Linked DNA regions of Schizosaccharomyces pombe. The gene in region 1 interacts genetically with each later gene. Each region holds a gene or a part of one and is shown on either strand. Other genes may lie near its edges.

The links.
Region 2: of mam4 (region 1) and erf2, changing one enhances a phenotype caused by changing the other (phenotypic enhancement), as found in Schizosaccharomyces pombe (one study listed by BioGRID).

The regions. Positions count from the first base shown.
Region 1 is NC_003424.3:1,226,472-1,234,936, forward strand, and holds mam4 (protein-S isoprenylcysteine O-methyltransferase Mam4), read right to left. Parts: upstream 3,802-8,465; 5' UTR 3,600-3,801; coding exon 2,889-3,599; 3' UTR 2,624-2,888; downstream 1-2,623. Other genes in the region: rio1 (RIO family protein kinase), read left to right, coding at 1-808; autophagy-associated protein kinase activator Atg17, read right to left, coding at 945-2,180; caa1 (aspartate aminotransferase), read right to left, coding at 4,317-5,546; SPOM_SPAC10F6.14C (ABC1 kinase family protein), read right to left, coding at 5,845-7,452. UniProt on the Schizosaccharomyces pombe protein: Mediates C-terminal methylation of the isoprenylated C-terminal cysteine in M-factor.
Region 2 is NC_003423.3:1,864,093-1,872,194, forward strand, and holds erf2 (palmitoyltransferase Erf2), read right to left. Parts: upstream 3,441-8,102; 5' UTR 3,358-3,440; coding exon 2,305-3,357; 3' UTR 1,729-2,304; downstream 1-1,728. Other genes in the region: trm141 (actin binding methyltransferase), read right to left, coding at 1-94; protein tam8, read left to right, coding at 428-661; elongator complex subunit Elp6, read right to left, coding at 685-1,239, 1,322-1,516; SPOM_SPBC3H7.08C (uncharacterized protein), read left to right, coding at 5,160-5,228, 5,298-5,349, 5,510-5,751; phosphoserine phosphatase Ser2, read left to right, coding at 6,242-7,039, 7,111-7,209; F-box protein Pof9, read left to right, coding at 7,755-8,102. UniProt on the Schizosaccharomyces pombe protein: The erf2-erf4 complex is a palmitoyltransferase with a major role in driving sexual development. Palmitoylates ras1. Palmitoylates isp3. Palmitoylates rho3.

The sequences.
Region 1 (8,465 bases):
CAAGTTAAAGGATATAGATATGACGCCTGGTGAGGCTACTAAATTATATCAGCTTGTAGCACGGAATATGCGTATTTTGTTTCATGTTTGTCATCTCGTGCATGCTGACTTGTCAGAATATAATTTACTTTATCATAAAGGTAAAGTTTATTTTATTGATGTATCACAATCGGTTGAACATGACCACCCGCAGAGCATCGATTTTTTAAGAATGGATATTTTAAACATTTCTACATTCTTTAGGCGTTTGAATGCTGGTTGCTTATCTTTACCTCAATTATTTAAATTCATTACTGAAGAAGGAAGTTGTGAAAAGGAAGCCATGAAAACCCGGTTAAATGCAATTTATGAGGAAGAACCTACTACAGAAGAATACGAAGAGGAATTCTTAAAAACTTATGTTCCTCGGACTTTAGATGAGGTATACGACATTGATCGAGATACTGAAATCGTAAACGCCGGAGGTGTTAATAGCCTTGTATATAAGCACTTATTAAATACAGACTTTCAAAAATTGGATTTAAATGACACTACAAAAAATCAAAACGATCAAATCCTCCCAAATGAGACTTCGGAGAGCGATGATGATGCAAATTCTATAAGTAGTATGGAAAATGAAGAAGAACGGACTTCGGATTCAAAATCATCTGCAAAACAAGGTAAAGGAAACGGACGTGCAAAGGAGACACCGGAGGAGAAGAGGGCACGGAAAAAAAAAACCAAAGAAGATAAGGCTGAGAAAAGAAAATCCAAGATTCCGAAGTATGAGAAGAAGCGCAAACTAAAACAATCTGGAAGAAAAAAGTAATCAGGGGAAAAAATTACGGTTATTTTATATAATTATCTTTATTGGAAAAGTCTATACAATACTCATAAACTAGTAGCATAACTAAAATCATTATACGTTTATAGACTTTAAAAATCGTAAAATATGGCTAACAGGGTCATCGCTTAGAGGCTGTAGTAGAAGATTTTTCACGTTGCTTCGATTTCTTATCGTTTTTATCAGGAATTACCTTTACGTTTGGCAATTCTGTATATTGGTGCTCTATAATTTCAAAATGTAAAGGAGGATCTGTTACAGCTCCCCATAGAGTCTGGGGTAAATAATCACCATATTGATTGAAAAAATCGATACGACATTTCGCCTCCGCCTGTTGTTCCTTCTCCAGGCGTCCCACAAATTCGTCCACAATGGATCTTACACAATTTTCATAGGTTTGTCGTCTGTGAATTTCCTGAAGGAGAGCGGTATACGCTTTAGCAAAATGTGTGTAATGTCTTTCAAGCTGCACGAGTTCTTGAGCTAATTGCGGAATCTCCAGGCCGGTTTGCGCCCTCATTAACTCATGCGCGGCTTCATGCCTTTGATTAGTCAACTGGTTTTTGTTTAACTCCTCAGCCAAGGCTTCCAAAATCGATGTTGCCGAATCTACCTTTGACTTATAACTTTGAACTGCGTTGAAATAATGAATTGTTTGATCTAATCCACTCCTAAGTTCTGTCAATACCGAAGGAACATGATTAGAGTCTGATTGAAGCACTTCTTGGAGATCTTTCTTCTCCGCATCAGAAAGGGTGTCATAAATATTGAGAGCTTCGGAGCATTGATCGTAATGTTGAGCAACTTGCAAAAGCAAATCCGCAAGTTCTTCGGCAGTATCGTTATAAGCGGGAGGTAAGAAGTCTAATGAAACAGCTTCTAAACGTTTATGATAATTGGCACACAAATCTTCTTCCAGTAAACCCGCTAGCTTTTCGAAAGCATTCCAAACACCATCAGTTACGCCTCGGAGCCTGGTTTTCAAATCTTCTAATGCAGTATCATCTACAAATGCATAAAGATTGGTATATTCGCTTCCTAAGGCTGGATCTAATGTACAGTCACGAAGACGTTTAAGTGACGATTCCAATCGATCATGAAGGACGTTTAATTGATTAAATGTTGGATAATTTTGAACTAGATCTAATAACTGCTTAATAAGAGCTGTTGAAGAGTCTAAACGAGTACATTGAGATGCTGTGAGCTTCGCCAACTCTTTTAGCTGTTGATGCTGCTTTATGGAATTTCTCAAATCAGTTTTTGCATCTTCATTAAACTTATGTGCATCACCACACAGTTGCCTGGCTTGAGTAAGAGCTGCTTTGGCTTGCTGAGTCCACTGCTGCAACAATTCCATCACCGCACTCACGCGGTAAAACTGTATTCCTCTTGTATGCACTCCACTGGAAAAGAAACTATATAGATATATAAGGATAGATATATATTTATATATATATCGGCCAACAAACTTTTCAAAAGGACCTTTAATACAAAGGAATTGATTGTGAAGCAGAGTTGTATGCTTGCGGCGAAATTGAAATATAGCAAGTGAGCGCATGTAGCACATATTAATGAGAGCTTGCGAACTACAGCAAATAAATTGCACAATATTGCAGTTGTTTTTCGCTATTTTTCTTTATTTACATAAAGTTGACTGAAGCGATAATTATAATATAGTTAAAACCATAAACGAAAACTAAGAAGAAGAAATGTTTGTTAAGAGTACTATAGCTATGAATAGTAATGATTAAGCAGTAAATCTTTTCAGAATTATTGTGGTTCAAAAGTAAACAGACTATTATTTTTTAAGAGAAAATTTCAGATTAGCTGATCATATTAATGGCACTTCGATGTTTAGCGGAGCTACGAAAACATCTTTAAAATTCTGCAAGACAAAGCGCTGTTATTTGGACAATTGATATCTATTAGCCTTGAAGGAGAAAAAGGCTATAAAAATAATTTGTTATGAGATTTGTATAGTCAGACCTTTAAAAGCTGCTTTGATGATGATACAAATTATTTAAGTATGCTTTTATCAACTATTCAAATAACAATAATAGTGAACCTATGGAATTAAGGGAATTCCAGATGGGACCTTCTTTCGATATTGTTCGTAAGAATCACCAAAAAAACTAACTAAGTAAGCTTCTTCGGTAGTAATTCGCTGTGAGAAAAATTTCCAAAGAACTAGAGAAAATAGTAATGTTGAGACAAAATTTCCTAACAACATTTGAGTGCCCAAAGCCCAGATAAAAAACCCAACGTATGATGGGTGTCTAACGTAAGCATAAATCCCATCAGTGACAAGCAAATGATCTTTATTTCTTTTACTAGCTACAATGTGAGAAAAAGATTGACCGGCTTGTACCATTGCAGAGGATCGTAGATATTGTCCCAAACAAAGAAATCCCAGAGCAGATGTCTGATATACCGAAAATATAAAGTTGATTAAGAAGCTCGGAAATCTTAAGCAATTTATTACCTTAGCAAAACTTTTTCCGCCACTTAATAAGCATTCTAAAAGGCCGACTAACATCGCTAACCAGTAGGCTTTGCCATTATTCAATATGAAAGAATCCCATGATAACTGACTACCTTGAAAACGAGCAGTAATGTAAAACTCTAATAGATGAAAAAGACTCAGAAATGCAAAAAAACCTCCAATACTATATCCGTATATAATCCATACGAAAAATCCCAAACCAAAAACACAACCAAGAAAGGCGCTGGTTAAGCAAATAGATGCTACAGCTATTGACGTATGTAAATTCCCCATGATTGTATATTAAATTCAGGTATGTGAATTCAACTTTCTTTATTAAATTTATCGAGAAGAATTATTGAGTCAAAATGTCCTAACAAACTAACTCATACACATTTAGAGATGTTATAATTATTAATTATTGGAGGAAAGACACGAGAAGAAATAAAATTTATGCAAAGAGGGATATTCCTTGCTTTAGCCTGGTTTTCGAGTTATTAGGATATTTTCAAAATTTCCTGCTTAAAATTATAGTTGACACAATAGGGAAGTAAAACAAAGAAAATCATACTCATATTGTATTACTTAAGTTTTGACTTCTTTTCTTTGTATTGGCTCTAATAGTTGCTAAAAGTTGTATTATATTAATGTAGTAAACCTCGATATAACAAAGAATTCAAATACTCTGTCATTAATCAATTTGCAAGTTATGAATTATTAAAAAAGAACTCTTTCTCAGTTTTGTCTAAACATATCCGATTACAAACTGATATCAACTTGTTTTGCAAATAATGAGCCAAATACTGATGTCTAACTCACAAAGGAGAAGTCCCGGTGTATGAGTTGAACAGATAACTTCATATTATTCAAAAATTCAAAGAATAAATGCATATACTAGTTCTCTAAATTGCTAAAGAATTTGTTCCTAAATTCGTCAAATTTACAACAATCCAAAATTCTGTATTCATGAATCCAATACTTATCTATGTGACTTTGGTATTAATAATCAGTTTAAGGCAACTCGCGAACAGCATGGTTAAATGCCTGTGCAACATGCTCTACATTAGAATTGTTCAAACCAGCCATAGAAATACGACCATTTGCACTGAAATAAAGATGGTACCGCTCCTGGCAAAATTGGACTTGTGCAGGCGTTAAACCGGTAAAAGAAAACATTCCAATTTGTTGTGTAATATGATCCCAAGAACCGGGGGTTTTGAGTGCAACAAGAGAATCGCGAAGACGTTTCCTCATCTCAATGATTCTAGAAGACATAGTCTTTAAATCTTGTTCCCATTCAGCAAACAATTGAGGACTGTTAAGAATTTCGGCAGCAATACGTGCACCGTAAGCGGGAGGGTTAGAAATGGTGTTACGTTGAACAATACACAATTGAGATAAGACCTTGTTTTTAGTGGAAGCGTCCTTTGCAACGTAATGCATGCAACCAGTACGTTCACCATAAAGACCCATATTTTTAGCAAATGACTGACAAACGAAAAAGTCCTTGTTATATTTGACAAACTCGTTTAGAGCCCAAGAGTCACGATTCAGATCACCACTGGCAAAACCTTGATAAGCAATGTCAAAAACTACCAGATGCTTGCGAGAAAGCAGACTCTCGAATATAGAAAGCCATTGTTCCCTAGTGGGGTCAATACCAGTAGGATTGTGAGCACAAGCATGAAGTAAAAATATACTTCCTTCGGGAGCAGATTTAATGGTACTTAGCATGCCTTCGTAATCAAAAGATCTATTCTTGGCATCCCAATAAGGATATGTATCTACAGTGACTCCCAATTTTTCCCACAAAGTGCGATGGACAGGCCAAGTAGGGTTGGAGATGTATACATGGGCTCCAGTGTGCTTTACATAGAAAGTCTCAATGAAACTAGCAGCAAGAAAATTGGCACCAGTACCAGAGACTGACTGCATAGATGCAACACGGTCCTCGGACAATAAATGAGGATTGGGTCTGAAAAGAACTTCAGCCGCAGCCTTAGTGAAACGAGGCAATCCAGCAATTGGTAAATATTCATGGTTGAAGCTTGCCTGTTCTTCCACTATTTTAGATGCTTTTTTAACTGCAGGCAAAATCCAAGGCTTACCAGTATCGTCACGATAGGCGCCAACACTCATGTTAACCTTCTTGGGATCTTCATCCTGATGGTATTGAGCATTTAATTTAAAAATTGCATCTGCCTTAGCTTCCTCAATATTTGCAAACCCGTAGTCTGACATTGTGGTTAAATATGCGGTAGGTAGATTTCAACCTTACTGATCTACTATATATATATATTTATCACTCGGTTTAGTATCACTATATTATCAGTATACTTCATTGACATATAAGATACCGAGCTTGATGTACTGTAATAGTGAATAACGATACAAAGTTTGACTCGTATAGGGAGGAGCTTAACTTTTACAAGGAGGAGCTCTGAAGTGTCTTATCGAGAAAAGTAGGCAATATGTGAAGTTATATTATTATGGTCAAAGATTGGCTTTCCATAAAGAAAAGTAATCTTTACTATAAATATCATTTTTTATCATTAGTAAGTTCAGGCAACCGAAAATTTCCAGGGTAAAATAAATGTTGAAAGACCCAAAAAATAGGCGACAACAGCCGTTGATACCAAGTTGGACTAGGTTTGTCGGTAGTGTATTTATCAGCAACCTTGGCCATAACAGCTATACTATTCACTGGATACCCAAAATTTTGGTTATTTTTTTGAATAAGCATTAAGCAGCGACCTAGCATTAACAGCTCTTTCGGTAAACGAGTGCAGTCCTGTAAGAAGCCAATGAACTTTTTGCGTTCAGCAAGCTGCTGTTGGAAGGCCTCTTTCTTTGAAATAATTTTTTCACCAGTGTGAGGTTGCTCTTCATCCATTGGAATATTTAACATGCGGTTAGCAAAAAGCTCAGGTTGTCCAATCCCCCAAGCATCCATTACCTGAAGAATAGATTTTTTGTCTAATGAATAGGCTGCAGTGAAAAGCAAGGCAAATTCTTTTCTAAACTTTTCTGATTCAAATACATATAACCCATGATCCAAAATTACCGTTTGACACAAGCCTGCTTGATTTTTTCGAACAAGGATATTTCCAGGATGTGGATCACAATGAACTTGTTTCGAATGAAACATTTGGAAGGCAAGGAATCTGAAAAGGTTCGTTAAAATTTCCTTTTTGCTCATCCCAGCTTCAGAAAGAGCAGTTTGATCATAGAGGGGAATGCCATCAGCCCATTCAGTAACCATTACTCGCTTTCCAGAAATCTCTTTATAAACCTTTGGTATATATATCTTATCTCTTAAATAATCAGTTTCTTCTACCCCTTCACGAGCATGTTCCGAATTGTTAGCTTCAGTTGTAAAATCAACCTCAGAACGTAATCTTTCCGAGACATAATCAACCGTAAAGTAGAGAGGGATATGAAATATCCATTTATCATAAACATACATCATGTATTTGTACACGAGAAGATCCCACGACATTTGCTTAGCAACATCTGGTTTTTGAATTTTTACCGCGACCTTTTCACCGCTAGGTAAAACAGCACGATGTACCTGCGCAATACTGGCACTTGCAGCAGCACGTTTCTCAATGCTGGCAAATACTTCCTCTACTGGTCTTCCATATTGCTCTTTGAATATGTCTTGAAGTTCTTCCCATTCAACTTGAGGTGCATTGTCAAACATTCCCTGAAAGGCTTTCCCATACGCTTCAGGCAAATTATTTGATTGCATAGCAATGATTTGACCCATCTTGATGTATAAACCGCCATTTTTGTAAATCGTTTTAAACAGTCTCTGTGCTACTCTTTGGTGCAAAGCATCAATTTTGTCTGCCTTTTTTTCGCTGAAATTCAACTTATAGTCAGCCGCAATTATAGAAGCGGTGTATACTGTTCTAATACTACGGGTAAGTGCATGGGCATTATACACTCGATCCCAAGCGTAGACACCTATTCCAGCAGCACCAACAAATACGAACCTCTTCATCCATTTACGTTTGTTACCAGGAACTCCATGATTTTGCAATGCTTGACTGTTATAACGTACATCAGCATATGTCTTTGATCGCTTAATGAAGCGACTGGTAGTTTTCTGCAGTAGAGAAATTGTTCTCCACGAAGTCAACATCTCTACGGGATGAAGGCTTTGAAGAAGACGAATTTGAGCAGAAGTAAACTAAGTTCAACACTTTGGATTCAAGGAAGGTAGTAAAGGGACTATCATAAATAGATCAAGTTGGCGCTGTGTCCTTTCAACATTCTCAACTTTCTGACCTAAGGCAGCCATTGAAATGCATTCTCCCATTTAGCGTATCATACTTTTGATAAATTAACTGAAGATAACGTCGCCAGTATACTATTATTTTAGACATTATATTACACAATTCATAAATAATGATATTCAGTGTAGTCGTTATGAATGAGGGATTCTGTCAATAACTTTTTTATTACAAGGTGATATGCTACTACAGCTCCGATAACACTTAAGAACATTGCTCATTGATATACTGAAAGTATTAAATGCTATGTCGGTCAATTGCTCGTCGAAGAATCGCAGAGCAACAGATCTATTCAATCCAAAAACAGGTTAGGGTTATAAACAGTCACGTAAATAGTCAGTAATATATATACCACTGTTTCCACTTTAATTTTTCCAAATGATACCTTTGAGCTCGAACGATCGTGGTTGAAGCAGTCATACAGGAATTTTTATTCCTCTAAACAGCTTTAGGGAAAGTCCCCGGACTCTTGCGTCTTGATCTCCATGGAGATTGGGACAGGCGGTAACGTGCTGACTTGAAGAATCAGCGGTTTCATTAATGGCGCTAGTTTTTCCTTTAGCCTTTGTACTTTAAACCTCAAGAGATATAACTCCTTGTCCAGAATGGAGTAGATAAGGAATACAGTCTATGAGTTGTGTTTCTTGAGCGTCTAGTGTACGAACGGTATGGTTGATTACGCCATTTCTGAATTGTGGTTTTTCGTCGTAGTTGATAGTTATACGGTCGCATCCATTTGTTGATGTATCACAATGGGGCTTAGTCTCGTGCTCAAAGGTTTTTTTCCTTAAAGAAAAAGGTTTGAAAATTTGGTTTACTCTGTCGGAGTGCTTGTTCGAATCAAGCCAGACCTACTTTTAGT
Region 2 (8,102 bases), on another chromosome or scaffold:
TTTCATTTCGCTTGTAAAACTTATCCCAAGACTTTTTCGACTCCTTTTTATATTTTTCAACCCAAAAATCACTTAATTTTGATATACCACTCATATCTCCTAACAATTTCGTAGCACGGTCTTCTATATGTATGAAAGATGTTTCAAAATATTACCCAACCCAGTAGTTATTCCAAAAAATGCGATAAAAAATTTGTATGACAACGATTTACCCTACAACCTTCAATGAATACCAAACTGGCTCGATCAATTTTTTTTAAATTAAAAAAGCACTATTTTAAATAAAAAAATAACCAAACCTAGTTCGTTAATTCCAAATTCACAAATCAATGCACACTGTGCAGAGAGCGTCTTGTTCTTCCTTGTAAACCTACACCTATACCAATTCGCGCGCACCTTGTGATACTCGCAACTCTACAAATATACAATGAATAGGACTTCAGAAAGTGTGGAACCTCAACAAAATGAAAAAACAGCAGTGCATTGGAGCAGAGAATGGGTTCCTGTTGTTGTAGATACATATTCTAATGAAGATGATGAGGATAATGAAGAAGGAGATGAATCCAGGCCTCAACGAACATTTTTAGTAAAACGGTGGGTGCAAGATAATGTACAAGTGGAAAAGAAGGGAGACGAAGAGACTGCAGCAGCAGATAATTGAGAAAAAGTAGATGAAGTAGGAATTTAGAGTTGCAGCGTCACCTGCCCTTTGGAATATACCTTAGCACCTGCTTCCGTTACCTCGTATAAAAGCTCCTTGTCATCATCCTCCGGGGTCTCGCATATTCCACTACGAAAGTGATTTGGCATTCGAGAAAGACGCAGGAATCCGGTGATTCGTCGAGCGCTACCGCTAGTCAAAGGCCGACAGGAAATACATCTAGTTGCCATGTGTCCGATTGAAGAGCCTAAAGACTTTTGTTGTGGTAACGGAGCTCCCAAAGTCACGTTTACAATGACTCTACTGAAACATTTTCGTAATTCCAAAATTGCCTGCTGAATCTTTGTGGAATCGAGAGCATGAGTACTTTGTAAAATATCAATATCTTCTATGATGATCGTGGAGTTTTCAAATTCAAAATCGTTTTCCTCCACACATTGGATCACAGGCGCGAAAACAGATTTGATGTGATTTTTGGTTTCTGGTGCTTGTACCTTCGAAGGCTTGGAAATAGGAGCAAATAGCATGCTGAAGCCATCGATAAAGAAGAAATTTTTTTTCGTTTTAATATCCATTCCCTAATATTGGTTCAGTAGGTTAGTCATACGAATAGTTTATCATTCAACCACTTATGCAATCGTAATCCCTCTTTTTACATACCCATTTACGCATACTAATTGCATGCTCATCTAAGGTTTTACTGAATGTTAAAAAACAAGTACTTTCCTTTGCTTTCAACGCATGGTATAAATAATAATGGAACAGAAATGTGACAGGTGTTTCTCTTGTTCCCAGTAGCAAAGTTAAAGAAAAAGGCTCAGGAATGGGGCGTAAATGCTCGTGTAAAGAAGACATTAGGTTTAAGAGCCGTTTGTCATTAGTTTTATAGCCTAACTACAGTAACCAGCTTTCCGAATGGTTGTAGAGGGTGAATGGAAAACACAAGCCTGGGAACGGAGCAACATGAACCAGAGTAAGAATGAACAAGCCGGTCAGTAATGCAAAGCTAGTTCTAATATTATAGAAGTTTCAAGTATCAAATTAAAGAAGTCTAATACCAAATTATTTTCCAGAAAACTATCCTCTAAATGTGGATAAGCTATTTCATTAAAAAAAGAAAAACTATCTACCTATGGAACATTGATTTGCCTAAAAGGCAATCATAATAATAAAAAAGAACAATAAAGAGCAAATCCCAATAAATTAGACTGGAAAGGGGTTTAGCTAAAGGAGGTAAAACCATCTATCTATCATATAAGTCATAAAAACAAGCAGCATTACTTTAAAAATAAAAGAGAGCAGCCAAATTAAATATTAATAATTCCAGAGATTGGTGAGAACAAGGAATAGTTTTATAAACATTTGTTTCTGTACATTGTTCTCTGTAAAGTACAAAGGGCGAGCTGAAGGGGTCGACGACAAGGATGAAAAAAAAGAACAAAACATTATCCAGGTAAAAATTTTGAAGAGGGGAGTAATCTTTTTTATTCCGGTTATTAAAACCAAATTAATTTCGGTACTGAAAAGTAAATTGGTAAGGGGAAGATGAAAGAGTGTAGCATATATGCGTGAGCGATTTGAGCATTATTGTCTAGCAAATAAAAAATTTTTATTTCTTATTTTCTTTGTGAAGCCAAGGCATATTACACGTAAGACTTCCTAGTGGGACGAACGTAACTCACATTTTTAGGACGACAAAGGACAACCAGAAAATTGAGCCATATGCTGTCATGAAAAGGATGTACATCTTCAGTTTCTGTACTCTTTGCTCGTAAGTATTCATGAACATTCTGACCAACAGATATTAAATAGCACTGGTAACAGAAAAGGATGCCAGGAAGTATTGCTCCAAGTGCCCCATAAATGCCAAGGAAGAAAGATACGCCAGCCCATGGACGACGAAGATGCGCCGCAAAATTTGTATCTGTGGATTCATGAAAACTTCCTATAGAAGTATAGAACCCCAATCCAGTTAGATACAAAGCTGAAAGAACGACAGATAACAAAAAAATAAAATAATATCTGTAGTTTCGACGACCAATGCAAGTGTTTAACCAAATGCAGTGATGATCAAGGTATTCAACACAATTATCACATAAATGACAATGGCTTGCACGTGGAGGACGATATAAGTGGCACGTATGGCAATAAACTGTATTAACAAAGACAGAGTCAGACCGAGTGGATCCAACAAGGACTTTACGGTCTTCAGGAATTACAGACCAGGGATGGGCAGGGTTATAAGTTAAAGAATATGCATTTCTAGGAAGAATTCCTGGATCAGCAGTCGAGCACTTGAACATGGAAACAACGGCTAAGGCATACAGGTAAGCAAAGGTAATAGGGACAGCGGGAGAGACATGATGCCAGAGCCAAAAAGCAGAAAAGATGAAGAAAAGGACTCCTGGAAGAATCAAGGCAAACAAGCTAATGAGGAAAGCTTTGTACTGAGATGACATTTGCAATCGACCACAACATAAATAGATATTGTTTCCTGGTAAATTCTTATATCGGCTTTCAATATGCGGTACTTCCGGAACATCATCAGGAACGGATTGAAATCTATAAGGAATTTGGTTCTTTTCTTCCAAATTCATGGGATACGTTGGATCAGACAAAGTCACCTCAAATGGATTCCATGGCTGATTCCACGCGTAGCGGGATGCCTTAGCATCACTGTGTTTCTCATAGCTCATGATTATATTCTCTAAACAACAAACATGGCAAAGAAACAGCTATTTTTACACCTGGTATTATATCTTGTAGTTTTGTTGTCGGTAAGGATATGAACCCCTTTTGCGATGGAGGGTGAAGTAAATATTAGCATCCGCCAAAGTTTGTTTACTAAGCAAATAAAGAAATCAAAATAAATAAACAATTAGAGAATGTGACTCTAATAACTAATATTTGGAATGGCGCCTATTTAATCGATGAGAGTGTATTAAAAAGAGAAGGGAAATAAAAACAGAATATGAAATGAAATGCTAAAAAAAAAAATACTAACCGAAGAAATAAAATTAATAATAATAAATAAAGTACTTATTTTTTTTTTACGAATAAAATGTAAAAAAAATTATTTAAGAGTGCCAATATATTAGTATTTATATTTTTCAAACTTTTTATTTAAATATATTTCATCGATACTGTAATTGGAACATCCTGTCAGTACAACAATTCAGGGCTCAAAGTTAGAAAAATCAAGTTTAATAAATTATACTATCCGTGCAATTTCGGGTTTGTAAAGAAAGTGGATAATATATGGAAAAATTAGTAATATATGACTCGATAAAGACTCCAAAGACTAAGATAAAAGACCAATATCATGGGAAGTAGACTAGCTAGTAAACCATTTTCATCTTGTGTATTATGTTTTTTTTTTTTTTTTTTTTTTTTAAAATGGCTAAATAACTAGCAGGAAAATAATGGGAGGGTGTAATTGAGAAAATATTAGAAATGAAGGTACGGAAGCAACGAAAAAAGATCTTAAAAGTTTATTAGAGTGTTGCAACTATTGAAATTATGATTATCGCGAAGCTATTAATGAAAGGGCTAATTTAAAGGATCATCTCTATACTTTCACTAGCCCCGAAATAACCCAATAACCTCTATGGCTTGTAAACAAATAACTCAAGAAACACGGTATATGGTCAGTTATGGATGAAATTTTGAAGAAAAATTATTACTAATCTACATCTAAGAAAAACCATCCTGGCTTCATTCACTGTATTTAGTGGAAATGTAGTTCACAAGATTATCGAATTAGATTGTTATTCCTCAATATGCATGACTCCAAGCGGTCCTTTGGTTTTATTTCCTGTTTTAAAGGGAAATGAATTAAATTCTTATTCCTTAGAAAATCTCAATGACGCTTTTAAACGTACTTGTACATTGGACCTACTTTACTGGAGAAACATTTGCGGTCAGCAACTACTATTAAGTTACTAACCTCATGGCAGCTAAATTTTGAAAAATGACTATATTTATTTATAATGGTACGAACCATTTTTATTTGTTTGCGAAGTTTTTTAGTGTTCTCTTCTTATTATTTACAAATATAATCTTAGGAAAAGTTTAGTAAATAAGTGTCCTAACAAATTCTATAGTATAATACAAGGGTAGAGGTAGTATCTGAAAAGTATTATAAAACTGTATAAAGCAATATAAATACAAGGGCGGTTCGATCCCGATTGCAAACGCTGGAAAATCTAGAAATATTGGAAAGTTGCTTCTTTCACCACTTTAGTAGAAGGAGTTGGTGATTATTATGATATTATTATCCATTCAAATTTGAATCTCTTAATGCGCACCGTTGCTACGTCTTGTCTGCGTCAGGTGGCGATCCCCATAAATATTGATGCTTGTCATAAATGTTGCGAATGTTCGCCTACGTATTTCATTTTGACATTTACAATCATAAAAGGATTTTAGATCCTTTCCATCTCGAAACAATTAATCAAACTATTCAAGCGAACAAGAACTTTTTATTTTTGGAACCATCATGTCAATTATGCGCTCAATTATGTCGAACCGCCTGGTTCGCTGGTCAAGAGAATATCCAGAACTATTTGTAAGCTCAATTTTTTTTTGAAAAATATATTGAGTTGATTATTTCGTAAGCTGATCAGTTTGCTGTTAGATAACTTGGTGTGTCATGACTTATACCTTTGGAGTTGCTGGTTATATGCTTGGTATGTTAAAAATTAGTAGAAAATTAGAAATCAGCGCAGTTAATGAAACATTATACTCAATTTTAATATTCTGTTAAAATTTTCCTACAGAATATTTATTTTACAAGCGCATTTACATATGATTGTTTAAATTAAATGATTGTAGCTAACAGTTTTTTAGGACAGCGGGGCTTGTTGGTACAACATGAAGATCAAGTCCGAATTCCTTCAAAAAATGCTCACCCCTGGGAAGACACCAAAAGCAGTAGCGGAAAAAGTGATGAGAGTCTTGATTATAGCTACAAGTATTATCCTCGAGGAGATAGGAGTAAAGAACCTCGAAAGGCACCTTCTGCTATTCAATACAGCACTTTTCCCGTTAAAGGTGTATCAGAAGAGGTACTTGAGCGATTCTCTAAGTAAAGCACATTAAATTGTGTATAACCTTTTAGGAATGAAAGAGAACAATTATTACATTGCCAAATATTTTTTTAGTGCTTTTTCACTTTACAAATATCTCACTCTCTACTTTATGGTAGGCTCTCATTTTTGGAATATTTGCCCTGATATATTGCAATATTTCCAAACATCTTCTTAGTTATGATTTCTTGCTTTATTGCTTTAATGTATAAAAAAAATATTTGCTTATTAACCTGTGTTTGAAAACGGAGTTTAGGCACCACTTTACCAACTTCACAATTTATACAGCATTTTGAAGATAATGATAAATTTGTAAACAATAACAAAAAATAAGCTTGTTTGAGATTTTCAAATAACTTAAATTGACCTAGTACTTGTTGTCGTTTAACGTTAAGCTTAATCAATAGCCGAGTAATTAGTAAATGGGACTTGCCGAAAACAACGCTTTTCAACTTAGAAAATTTAGCAAACCCACTCATACCTTTTAATAAGCATGGTCAACGCAGCCATAGTTGTTTCCTCAAATCGTCCAAATGTGCTTGAACAGATTTCCTCCTTGTTTAGAGATGGGAAGACTCGTTCTCTGGGGGAACAGTGGACTTTAGTATCAGGCCAACTTAAAGGAACGTTTGAAGATGCTAAAGACGCTTGTAACCGCATTTCTGCTACTGAGAATGTAGACTGTAATTGCTTGAGTGAAGCAACATTTTCCACTAAAAAGAAGCTTGTAGTATTTGACATGGACTCGACGTTGATTCAACAAGAGTGTATTGACGAGCTCGCGGCAGAAGCAGGCATCCAGAAAGAGGTTGCTACGATTACATCTCTTGCAATGAATGGGGAAATTGACTTTCAAGAATCACTTCGTCGTCGCGTTTCTCTACTACAAGGGTTGAGCGTCGATGTCATAAATAAAGTCATTGGCAAAATTACTTTCACTCCAGGAGCTAAACAGCTTTGTCATTGCCTTAAGCAAATGGGTGCGACTCTTGTTGTCGCTAGTGGTGGATTTGTTCCAATGGCTGAATATGTCAAGGGACAACTGGACTTGGACTATGCATATGCCAATGTACTTGAATTTTCCGATGATGGTAAATTCCTCACTGGAAAAGTTCAAGGTGCAATTGTAGATGGACAACGAAAAGCTTCCATTTTGCGTGAAAAGAGGGAAGAGTTGGGTTTAAATAAGCTCGAAACGATGGCTGTTGGGGACGGAGCTAACGATTTGGTCATGATGGCCGAATCCGGTTTAGGAATTGCGTTCAAAGCTAAACCCAAAGTTCAATTATTGGTATGTTCGAAATTTTTTTACAAATTTATGTTTTTAATGATCTTACTAACTCGATTTTTTTTTTTAATTAGGCTGATTCGAAAATCAATCTTCCATCTTTGCAAAACGCTCTTTACCTCTTGGGTATTGATGAGCAACAACAAAAAAAGCTATTGGAAAACAAAAATTAATTTAGAATTTCCAAGAATTTTTCAATCGCAAGGCGCTGTCAAGAACTCTGAGCTACTGTGGCTTGGTTTTTATAAAGCAATATTTTACTTGTGCGCGTGGTCTTTTTTTCTGTAGTAGGAGCCGTCTTTTATATACCCTACTTCTTTATTTTTGATACTCTTATTTTTCTTTTTCCTTAATTTACAATTTTGGTATGATCAATGCTTCATTGGAAAGGGTGTGCAATGAATGCTTAAAAAAAAAGGGGCAGTTCAGAAGCTTTCTTCTTTAAAACAGACAAGAATTACTCAATTGGTTTTTATAAAGCCGATCATTTACTCTTAAATCTGCTTCGTTATGCTGATAGACTTTGAAATTGATTCGTGCAATGACTACACCTTCGTTTCATAGACCTTTCTTTATTATCATTTATTAATTGTAAATAATACAATTGTATCTAGTTATTAAGAGTTGCAGAAAACATGTGCTTTTGACGTATTTCAACACCGTTTCCCTTGTATATATTCAGAGGTATTCATATACTACTACCCATGCGAGATTCATTATGGCTAAATCACCATTCCTGGAGCTTTCTTACGATATATTGCTAGAAATTAGTACATATCTTGATTATAAAGATATAGTTCATTTGTCAGAAACATGCAAGTCACTTTCGTATGTTTTTGACGACAAAACAATTTGGCATCGATTTTGTGCACGGGTCCAAGGTCTCACCAATGTAGTCCCAGTTGTTGATGATAATTACAAAAGACCCTATGCTGTATGGAAAGACCGAGGATACGCTTACTCATGGGGGCAACAGATAAGAAACTATTTGGGCCGCGTCGTCAATACAAATCAGTATCCTCGAGATCGTCCTGGTGCATTGACTGGGAAGGACGTTCGTTCTACT